2 linked regions of the Schizosaccharomyces pombe genome follow. The gene in region 1 interacts genetically with each later gene. Each region holds a gene or a part of one and is shown on either strand. Other genes may lie near its edges.

Region 1 (5,919 bases):
AGTCATAAAATCGTTCGCATTGATCCTAAAGAGGCTACCATACTCAATTCTGCCGAACGAGTACCTTATCTTATTATGGTTGAGGTCCTATCTGGTGAACTCAGCTTCGAGCCACAATCGAAGAAAAATAAGGCTAAGGTGCAAAAGATTGTCTCTCATAAAAACCAAAGAAAAAGGTGGTTTGACCTCACAGATGTCGATCCTTATACGAACCTTCAAGACAGTACCGACAATGATATTTCAGAGTCGGAAAGTGAGGGAGGGGATTTAAGTATGTCTCCTCTGATAAAAGGGTTGGTACCGGACACTCTTTCTTTGAGTAAGTCATTCTCTTCGTTTGGTAATGTATCTTTGCAGGTACCGTCCTCTCATAGAGATACCGATGTCGTCCTGTTATCTGGGCGCCACTCTGATTCTGATGGAAATGGCGCCTTAAAAAGAAGTAAAATCTATGCTTCAGAAATAACAGCGAGAATGCGAGCTGCGGCAACTATGCTAAGTCAGCTTGATGCTGAAGGTAGCAGACGTCCCAAAGCTGAGACTGAACGAATAAAAAATAGCATTATTCTTGACATGCAAAGACTCGAAGAAGAGCGCCTTAATGAACCATCCATTTATCCTGTTTCAGTCGACATATCATGCGCAGAAGATCTGCGATTTGGCAAAGAAACTCAAAAGGCAGAACGGAAAGGTGATAGAGATGATCCCAGTGCCGCTACATTCCAAGAAGATTGGTATGCCAAGAAGGAAAGGATAAGAAAGTCTTCTCCTTATGGTCATTATCCCAATTGGGATTTGGTCAGTGTGATTGTTAAAACGGGTGCGGATCTCCGGCAAGAGACATTTGCCTGTCAACTTATATACGCGTTTCAGCGTGTTTGGCTAGAGTGTAAAGAAAAGGTTTGGGTTCGAAGGATGAAAATTTTAGTGACCGGCGACAATAGTGGCTTAATAGAAACGATTACAAATGCCATTAGTGTTCACTCTATTAAAAAGAATTTGACGAAACAGCTTCGGGAAGCTGAACTAGCCCAAGGAAAAATTGCTGGTAAAAATGTTGTTACATTGAAGGATTATTTTATAAAGCAGTTTGGTGATCCCAACAGCAGCCGGTATCGACAGGCACAGACAAATTTCCTTCAATCATTAGTGGCATATAGCATTATATCATACTTACTACAGTTAAAGGATAGACATAATGGTAACGTTCTTATTGATAGTGAAGGTCATATTATACATATTGATTTTGGCTTTTTACTTACGAATACACCGGGGAATGTTGGCTTTGAAAGCGCTCCATTTAAGCTTACGGCGGATTATTTAGAAATCCTTGACGACCGGTTTGATGAATATCGTTCCTTGATGAAAGCTGCGTTTAAATCTGTTCGAAAAAACGCTGATCAGATCATTTTGCTTGTTGAAGTTATGCAAAATAATTCCACAATGCCTTGCTTTCGTGCTGGTGAAAACACAAGTGCACAACTTTTGCAACGTTTTCAACTACAGCTTGGTGACAAAGAATGTGATGACTTTGTGGATTTGTTGATTCAAAAGGCAAATTGTAGTGTTTGGACGAGACTTTATGATCTGTTTCAAAATATTACGAACGGAATTTACTAGTAAGTGGCTATTCGTTTTCTCTTTTCATTTTTTTCGAATACAGCTACGGAGCTTCCACACTTGAACCATACTGCTGGTTGGCTTTTTTAACTTTCAATATTGTATTAAAATCACCACATTCACCATGGTTCGTAAATTTGGTAATTTTTTTGTTAGCTAGATTAGCTATATTAATGCATTAAAAATATTTTATGTGATCTATATGATTTATCATACCCACTAGAAACCCTTGCAATTATAATATACTATTAAAGCATACTGTCTAAATTAACTGCATTTCTAAGTTAGCAAACAATTTGGCGTAGTTAAATCCGGGTTAAAGAATCCTTTCGCACTTCCGTATATTGACATACCAAATTTTAAAGTAAGATTAGGTACTGCAACCCACTTCAATTTACCCTTTACCATCAAATTGAAAAATTAGGCGCAAACAGTAATTGTATATTAGAACTTGGAATTTTTTTCTTTTCATTTATAATTTTGTGTTATAATCCTTTGTTCCTTCTTCTACTAGGGGTTGTTTCTTTGCACAATATTGTAGTTGACATTGGTTAATGGGGTATCTTCATATTGATTACAGTATTCGTGATATAACAAAGAAATTTGGTAGGAAAATTTTAGTGTTGATTAATAGTTTTTCTTATCAGGATTATATCCAACTGAGGTGAATTATTACTTGAGACTTTACATCATTAAATTTTATGCAGGTATTAAGTCGTGATTATATCAGTCAAACAAGTACCTTTTGAATTCATTTTCATACCTCTTCTTGCTTGAAAGAAAGAAAATCCCTTTTTGCATCTACAAGCAATTAATCCAACAGTGACATTTTGTGTTCGTATTTTCTTTTACAATAATCGTACATAAATTGGTTTTTTGAGTGATTATAAAATGATGAATAAGTGGGCAAAAAATTGGTTCGGGCTGTCTAAAAAATCGGTTTCCACCAATTCTGCTAAAGGGTCACTTCCCCGAAGTCCTTTGGCAAGCATCCAAACCAATCAACCAGTTGAGGAAGGTGAAGGTGGTTCACTTCCTTCAGTTTCAAATTTAGGTCCTTCCTCGATAGACCATCCCATGGAAGAATTCGCCAGTGACCAGTCTACGGTTGGTAACAGAAATAGTAATGATATATTACCTGAAGTTGACCATGAACCTTCAGGCTATTTGAAACTTCAAATAGGTTCATTAGTTTTGGGAGGACCTCATACTGATGCAGCATTAGCCATGGAATGCTCAAGACTTAATCAGTTGTTTGTTGTTGTTCAATTTGGTACGACGGAGTTTGTTTCACCTCCATTGAAATGGGAATCACCTGGCCGTGATATAGGCACATCTAGTCGGGATTCTGCTAATGTGAGTAGGAGTTCATCTATGATGAGCTCTCATCCCATTCCTACTCCTGCAATTCAACGTACGTCTTCAATTCCAAATCCCTTAACTCCATCTTATGTTGTATTTGATGTTGCTAAACCGGTCCCCATCGATGTTAATATTTATGACCATGGTAATAATAATGAATTTGTTGGGAGAACTTACATTCACCCGTCTTATAATTATGGTCAATTTGAACAGTTTTGCAACAGCGTTGAAGTTTCTCCCGCATACAACCGTATGGTTGATCTTCGTCTTTCTCTCAATACTGTTTTCCAGCCTCTCAGTCAACACTCCTACGGCCCTGATGACTTCGTTCCGTTGAAATTAATTGGAAAAGGTACATTTGGTCAAGTCTATCTTGTTCGTAAAAAAGACACCGAGCGCGTATACGCAATGAAAGTACTTTCCAAAAAAGTAATAGTCCGTCGCAAAGAAGTTGCACACACTGTTGGGGAAAGAGACATTCTCGTCCAAACTTCTGCAGCTGATTCGCCCTTCATCGTTGCTTTACGTTTCTCTTTTCAGACCCCCAAAGATTTATATTTGGTGACAGATTATATGGCTGGAGGCGAATTATTTTGGCACCTTCAAAAATCGGTACGATTTCCAGAAGAAAGGGCAAAATTCTATATTGCCGAATTGTTGCTTGCTTTGCAAGCGTTGCATAAACGAGGAATTGTATATCGGGATTTGAAACCTGAAAACATTCTTTTGGACGTTCAAGGACATATTGCCTTATGTGATTTCGGTTTGTCAAAGGCCAATCTTTCAGTGGGGACTACTACACGTACGTTTTGCGGTACCACGGATTATCTAGCTCCTGAGGTTATTTTAGACGAAGCAGGGTATGATATGATGGTTGACTTCTGGTCTTTAGGGGTACTTTTGTACGAGATGACATGTGGCTGGAGCCCTTTCTACGCTGATAACACACAACAACTTTACAAGAATATCGTGTTTGGTAAAGTCCGTTTTCCTAGAGGGTTGCTATCTGTAGAAGCCAGAGATTTGATTAAGCTATTATTGAATCGTAATCCAAAGCATAGGCTTGGTGCACATGGGGATGTTGAAGAGGTAATGAAGCATCCATTTTTTGATGGAATTGATTGGAAGAAACTCGCTGCGAAAGAAATTAGTCCACCATTTAAACCAATAGTGGAAGGTGAAATAGATGTTTCTAATTTTGATGTCGAGTTTACAAATAAAGCAATCGATAGAGACTTTAGTAGCACAGATGAAATGTCGACCTCTGCACCTTTATCATCAACTGTCCAAAATGGGTTTAAGGGTTTTACCTATATTGACGCAAGTGCTATGGATGAAGCATTCGGATACCACAACTCAAATGATTCTGCTTCTAGTATTTCCAGTCAAGATGATTATTCTAAGGACAATTCCGATATGGACTTAAATCGTGCGAACGATGAGGTATTTATGGGACAAATAGATCCATAATACGTTTGGTCTCCACGAATGTATCACTGCATTGAGAATCTTATGCCCATATTTTTTCTAGGCTGGATCCCTGAACCCGAGAGTATCTTTTTGTACACGCTTTCAATCGTTGTACTATTTTCTTATTTACTAGTTGTCCAGCAAAATTTCAACATGTATTTTGAAGGACAGGTAAATAATGTTTTAATTTAATCAGCGCTTAATCATTGAAGCGTATCGTTTTAATTTTTTTTTATTTCCCTTCTAAGAATGATTTTTTAGGATTGTTATTAAGATGCCTGTTTATGTGGAAGCAGGTTCGGGTGAAGTTCATTTTTTTTCGGTGCATATTAAGGGAATACTTAATGATCAAAGGATCTATTATTTCTATATTTTAATCTACGTTCACCAGGCTTTTTTGGTGTAATGTTGGGCTTGTATGGCGTTGAATCAACTAATTTTGGAACAAATTGTGCTTAGTTTTTTTGGTTCCGAACTATGACTTAATTGTGTACAGTGGTAATTACACAATTCCAAAATTCGTTGAATTGGCTGACATTAGTAGTAAGGTATTTTGCTTTACTAAGTAATTGTCATCTTGCTTAAGGCTATTCTATCTCCAATTGTAATGTCTTCGATTTTGTTCCTCTCCTTATTTTTTTTTTATTTTTCTCTTTTGCTGGATAGACGTTTATTCAGTTAGGTTGAAGTTCAGTTTTACGAATGTATAATGGTGTATGTTAGAATCTAGTTAAAGACATATTCTTTTAAACGCAAAGGAATTTAAAAAAAAGAAAAGACAAAGTACAATAGCAGTATTATTGATGCCCTCCTTGAGGGTCGTTTTGTAATAGATCTTCAGATGAAGATGTATTTGGATACTGTCGTATACGATAATTTGTTTTAGATATAACGATAATGACATAAAAATTTTTTAACTATGGTTTTGGAAACCAGTTTATCGATTTTTATTTTACTTGTGATTCTCTTCATTCATTTGTCTTGTGGGTCTTTGCCACAAATATTCGATATAATGTTTATAAAAACTAAATATGTAAAAAAATAACCTGTACATTCATTTTATTAAAAAAAGTAATTATAATAAATATTCTTTAACTTATGGTACACATAATATTGTTATCATGTATGGTCTTGATGGAGAAAAGGTAAATAACTAAACTAAAAAATTTAAAACGAAGTAAAAAATATCGGTAAGTACGAAAAATAGATAAAATTTAATAAAAAAAGGAAAAAAAAAAAAACAATTACATTTTCTCAAAAATCACTTGAAAACTAAAGACTCTTCTTGTTTTGTAATACTAGACTTATTCAATTTGACTAAGTAAAACACACTTGTATAATAAATAGTATATTTTATTTGTAATGATAACAAGGTCTCGTGGCCCAATGGTTAAGGCGCTTGACTACGGATCAAGAGATTCCAGGTTCGACTCCTGGCGGGATCGTTTTTTCAAAAGCTCAAATATC
Region 2 (4,384 bases), on another chromosome or scaffold:
TAAGAACAAGGATTTACCCAAATCTGCTCTTATTGATTTGGTTATTGCTACCACTGCTCTTAAGTATACTCAAAGTAACTCTGTTTGCTATGCTAAGAATGGTATGGTTGTTGGACTTGGTGCTGGTCAACAATCCCGCATTCATTGCAACCGTTTGGCCGGTGATAAGGCTGATAACTGGTGGCTTCGTCATCACCCTAAAGTCTTGGGTATGCAATTTAAGAAGTCTGCTAAGCGTCCTGAGAAATCTAACGCTATTGACTTGTACGTCCTTGATGCCGTTCCTGCTGAAGGTAGTGAACGTGAGCAATGGGAGTCTGCATTCGAGACTATTCCCGAGCCTCTTACTAAAAAGGAGCGGGAGGAATTTTTGGCTACTTGCAAGGATGTTGTCTGTGCCAGTGATGCCTTCTTCCCCTTCCCTGACAACATCTATCGTCTTGCCCAAAGCGGTGTCAAATATGTTGCTGCACCTGGCGGTAGTGTCATGGATCAAGCTGTTCGCGACACTGCTAATGAGTTCAACATGGTCTTTTCCGAGATCCCCTTGCGTTTGTTCCACCATTAATCTTGTTTGTATACCTAATTTTTGACCACTATTACTATGGATATAATTTTTTTTGTTCTGTATATTTGATAGGTTTCCTCAGTTTATACCATCATTTAATAGAGGTATTACAATAAAGACTTCAACGTCTTTTACTTTTTTTGATTTAATATAAAAAAATTTGGCATCTTTTTTGTATCCTGAATTTTGAAAAGATTTCCGATACTCAAGGCATTTTATTTCAGTAATAGTAGGGAAAATATTTTTTATTGTTTAACACGAATGCAACAATTTTATTCGAAAGCTTGGAAATTCACAGCATAACGGGCTCAATAAAGCATTTTTGGTTGCTAAGCTAACATATGAAGTAGAAAGGAAAACGCCATCAAACCTGCTTTTTGGATGTGAGCTTCGCAGTAAACTGACTGAGTTAAACATGTTCTTGGGTGTTTGCAAATTTCTATTAAATTGATTGAGCGTATGTTTTTGCTGCAGTTGATTTGAAGCATAAAAAATCCGGTCAGGGAGGGACTCGAACCCTCGACCTCACGATTAACAGTCGTGCGCAATAACCAACTATGCTACCCGACCTTAGTTACTCACGAGCAAAATTAGTACTATTTAATGGTATTAAAAAGGATTTAATGACTTTAAAATTGTTTTTTTTTTAACCCCATTCTTGCTTGATATATTTCCCATCTTAAAGGGTTACATACTCTTATTCTTTTATCTTTCATTCGATTGTGATTGATTTACCATATCAATAATCATCTTACAAGACCGGAAACTATCAACTATCTGGACGTAAAGTGAAGCATAAAGAAGATGGCATAGAGGACGGAAGGGAATTTTTATTATTATTCCAAGAAACCATGCTAAAATCACGTTTAAACCCTACTCCCTACTAACTCAGTATCTACTGAGTAGCTTTCATAGGTCTCGAACCGAATGGGAAAGACCAACGCTTTCTACATTAGAGAAAGTGGTTCTCTAAAAAATATTTAAAAAAGTATTTCTTTCTTGTTGCTTTTCTTTTTGTTACAGCGAACAAGTGCTCCCTTTAAATAGCTTTTTTGTTTTCATCCTGCCAGTCCTTACAACAATCCCTTACCACTGTGCACCAATACAACCTAAAGTTGAATTTCTGTAACAGTAGGATTTACAAAAGTTCTTTTGATTCTTAATTAGTATACGAGATGTAGCACTTCTACACGATTACTGTGTCCATGTACTATATGGTTGTATGCCTCTCAAAATAAAGATGACATATTTTCAGACTACCTTTTTCAAAAAGAAGGCTTCTCAATTCTACTGCTACAATTTATTCGTACTATCATTTCTATTATTGAAATTTCTCTACCATACATTTTAATTTCACTTGACAAATAGCGATACGTTAATGAACGCTATTACTGAATATGTACGTCGCTGGTACCACTAACACGTATGCGTTAGGAAACGTGATTTTAACCAAAATCTGTATAGAGGACGACTTTACATCGTTCTAGTTTAACACCTTTCAGTTTAAGGAATTTTCTTGATGTATTCAAAAGAAAGAAGGCGTTTATTAGTTTGACTATTCGCTTGATGAAATGGACCCAGGAGTTTCATCGCATCTCAGAACTGCTAGCCTTGATGAAGCAAGAAGGCTTCCAGAGCTTGAGCGTGTTTTAAAATCCGGATGGTTGATAAAGAAAGGACATGCAACTTCTGTATGTATTCATTAACTTAGTTGTCTGAGTAATATTTACGATACGTTTGAGTGGAAAGGGATTTGGAGTATTCTTTAATTTTGTGAAGTGTACTTAGAAGTGAATGATACGTACTCTTAATTCTTTATTGTTCGCTTTTGATTTGGGGATATGATGATGCAAACAGCACCCTACAAGCACTTTGACCAATTGATTTTCAGAATATTCCAATTATTTGCTTCCCGTTTCAGAGTCAATATTTGCACTCATGGTTTTTTTTGTAGTGGATGCTAACAACCTAGACTAAAAAGCAATTATGGGCTGTTCTTCGCAGAGATCAGTTATCTTTTTACAAAGACGAAAAGGTTTGTGAATAAAATGTGCAAATTTCAACGACGCGCTAACAGTCTTCAAGGAGTACAAAACCAAATTTATTTTCCCTACTCAGGATATTTCAGCTGTTGCCTACTACAAAGAAAAATCACCAAAAAGTACGTTAGAATTTTTGATGTTTATATCTAATGTTTAGCTTTTTTCCTGTATTTAAATGAAAAGATAATTCGTCTCATTGCCACTTCAAATGAGGATGCTGAGGAATGGGTTCATGTTCTAAGATCCACAACGGGTTATAGGGCACCGTTTTCAAGACATCCTATCAGTTATATCCTTGCGAACTCTTCATCTCGAACCGAAAGCGAGCCTAACGTTCAGATCTCTGATACTGACTTCGACAATATTTCGACTGAACCTCGTAATCAAACGACTTCTCCTTTAGACTTGGAAACTGGTCAGGGTGACCATTTCTGTACTTCACTTTATGATTTGATACAGTTTGGAAAGTTGAGACCACCAGGTATCAATGAAGAAAATGCAAATTACCCCTTCAACCCACAAGAAGTTAATACGCTGAATAAGCACAGGCATTCGGCTTCCTTACAAAATCTCTATAAACTCTTGGATGAAAATAAAGTTCTTATGCAAGGAACCATTCACTGGCTACATGGAAATTTACATAGGTGGTCCAAGTGTTGGGCTGTTGTTCGTGGATATGGTATGACTATTTACAACACGAACCGAGAGTACAAACCTGTTAAAGTGATACCGATAGCCGACATTCAGGATGTTGCTGAAATAAACGTTCCGGAAAGCTCACACAAATACTTTTTTACCGTAATTACGCAAAACAAACCTATCGAATTTCGCGTTGATAACGAAGATTCACTTATACTCTGGGTTGCTGCACTTAAGACTTCTATTGACAAGGCCAATGGTACTTTTACTGCTTGTTAAAAATGGCTTTTCCATCAAAATATTTGGTGCATAATACGATTCCTCAGCTACTTTTCTAGCTACCTTCTTGTGATTTCCTTTCATAAGACTCCCCTTACCCTTCGTGTACATACGTGTTGATCCGTTCTGTTTCTATATGTTTTGACTATCTCGTTGTTTTTTTTTTGTCTAATAATATTTCCGATAATGTCCGAAAATCGACACAGCTAGTTACAAAAGTGTCTTTCTTGCTCTAATTTAATGATTTTTTTCCTTCGTCATGAGCCAGTTTGTAGTACCATCGTTCGCTCCACTAAACAAACCTTTTGATGAAAATTATTTTCAATGTCATAACTATCCCTAAAATTATCCTAACCGAAAAACACATTTTTTAACTAAAATAAATTATTCTTTTGCTGATCAGTAAAATGCTTGTGCTTTTAAATATGCAATGTTTTTTTTGTCTTCTTCTGTAATCTCTGCTGAAGTAGTAGCTTTAACATCCACAAAACACTGAATTTGCTCAAGTGGCTCAAGTGATTGACCGGACTGCTCGAGTTTTTCTAGAACTGACTCTATAGTAAGCTCTTCTCCAGGAGGTATGGGGACTTTGTTAGAGGGTGTTACACAGTCCATCTTAACATCTTTTCTTAGTACATGGTCAATATCAACGGAAGAAAAAAATGCGACAGATTGTGGAAGCTCGTTGATGCCAAGTCGTTGACAAAAAAACGCACGAGTCCACAAGTTAGCCACCTGTAAGGCAAATGCAACCCGATATTTATCTTTATCTGATGATAAATAACGAACCTCGTCATGAACAGTTAAAGAAAGGCGAGCTTCTAGATAATATTTCTTAATTAAATGATTCATGGAT

What was found. Genes that interact genetically often act in the same process or in processes that back each other up.
Region 2: mutations in sck2 (region 1) and opy1 together harm fitness more than expected from each alone (negative genetic interaction), as found in Schizosaccharomyces pombe (2 studies listed by BioGRID).

What each region holds. Positions count from the first base shown.
Region 1 is NC_003424.3:5,045,110-5,051,028, reverse strand, and holds sck2 (serine/threonine protein kinase S6K family Sck2), read left to right. Parts: upstream 1-2,016; 5' UTR 2,017-2,511; coding exon 2,512-4,452; 3' UTR 4,453-5,413; downstream 5,414-5,919. Other genes in the region: Golgi-specific 1-phosphatidylinositol 4-kinase, type III-beta Pik1, read left to right, coding at 1-1,620. UniProt on the Schizosaccharomyces pombe protein: Protein kinase that is part of growth control pathway which is at least partially redundant with the cAMP pathway.
Region 2 is NC_003421.2:944,016-948,399, reverse strand, and holds opy1 (protein opy1), read left to right. Parts: upstream 1-2,015; 5' UTR 2,016-2,139; coding exon 2,140-2,259; exon of another isoform or gene 2,260-2,540; coding exon 2,541-2,603; exon of another isoform or gene 2,604-2,653; coding exon 2,654-2,729; exon of another isoform or gene 2,730-2,767; coding exon 2,768-3,528; 3' UTR 3,529-3,884; downstream 3,885-4,384. Other genes in the region: ade10 (bifunctional IMP cyclohydrolase/phosphoribosylaminoimidazolecarboxamideformyltransferase), read left to right, coding at 1-568; pog1 (DNA polymerase), read right to left, coding at 3,928-4,384. UniProt on the Schizosaccharomyces pombe protein: Binds phosphatidylinositol 4,5-bisphosphate (PtdIns(4,5)P2/PIP2) at the cell membrane.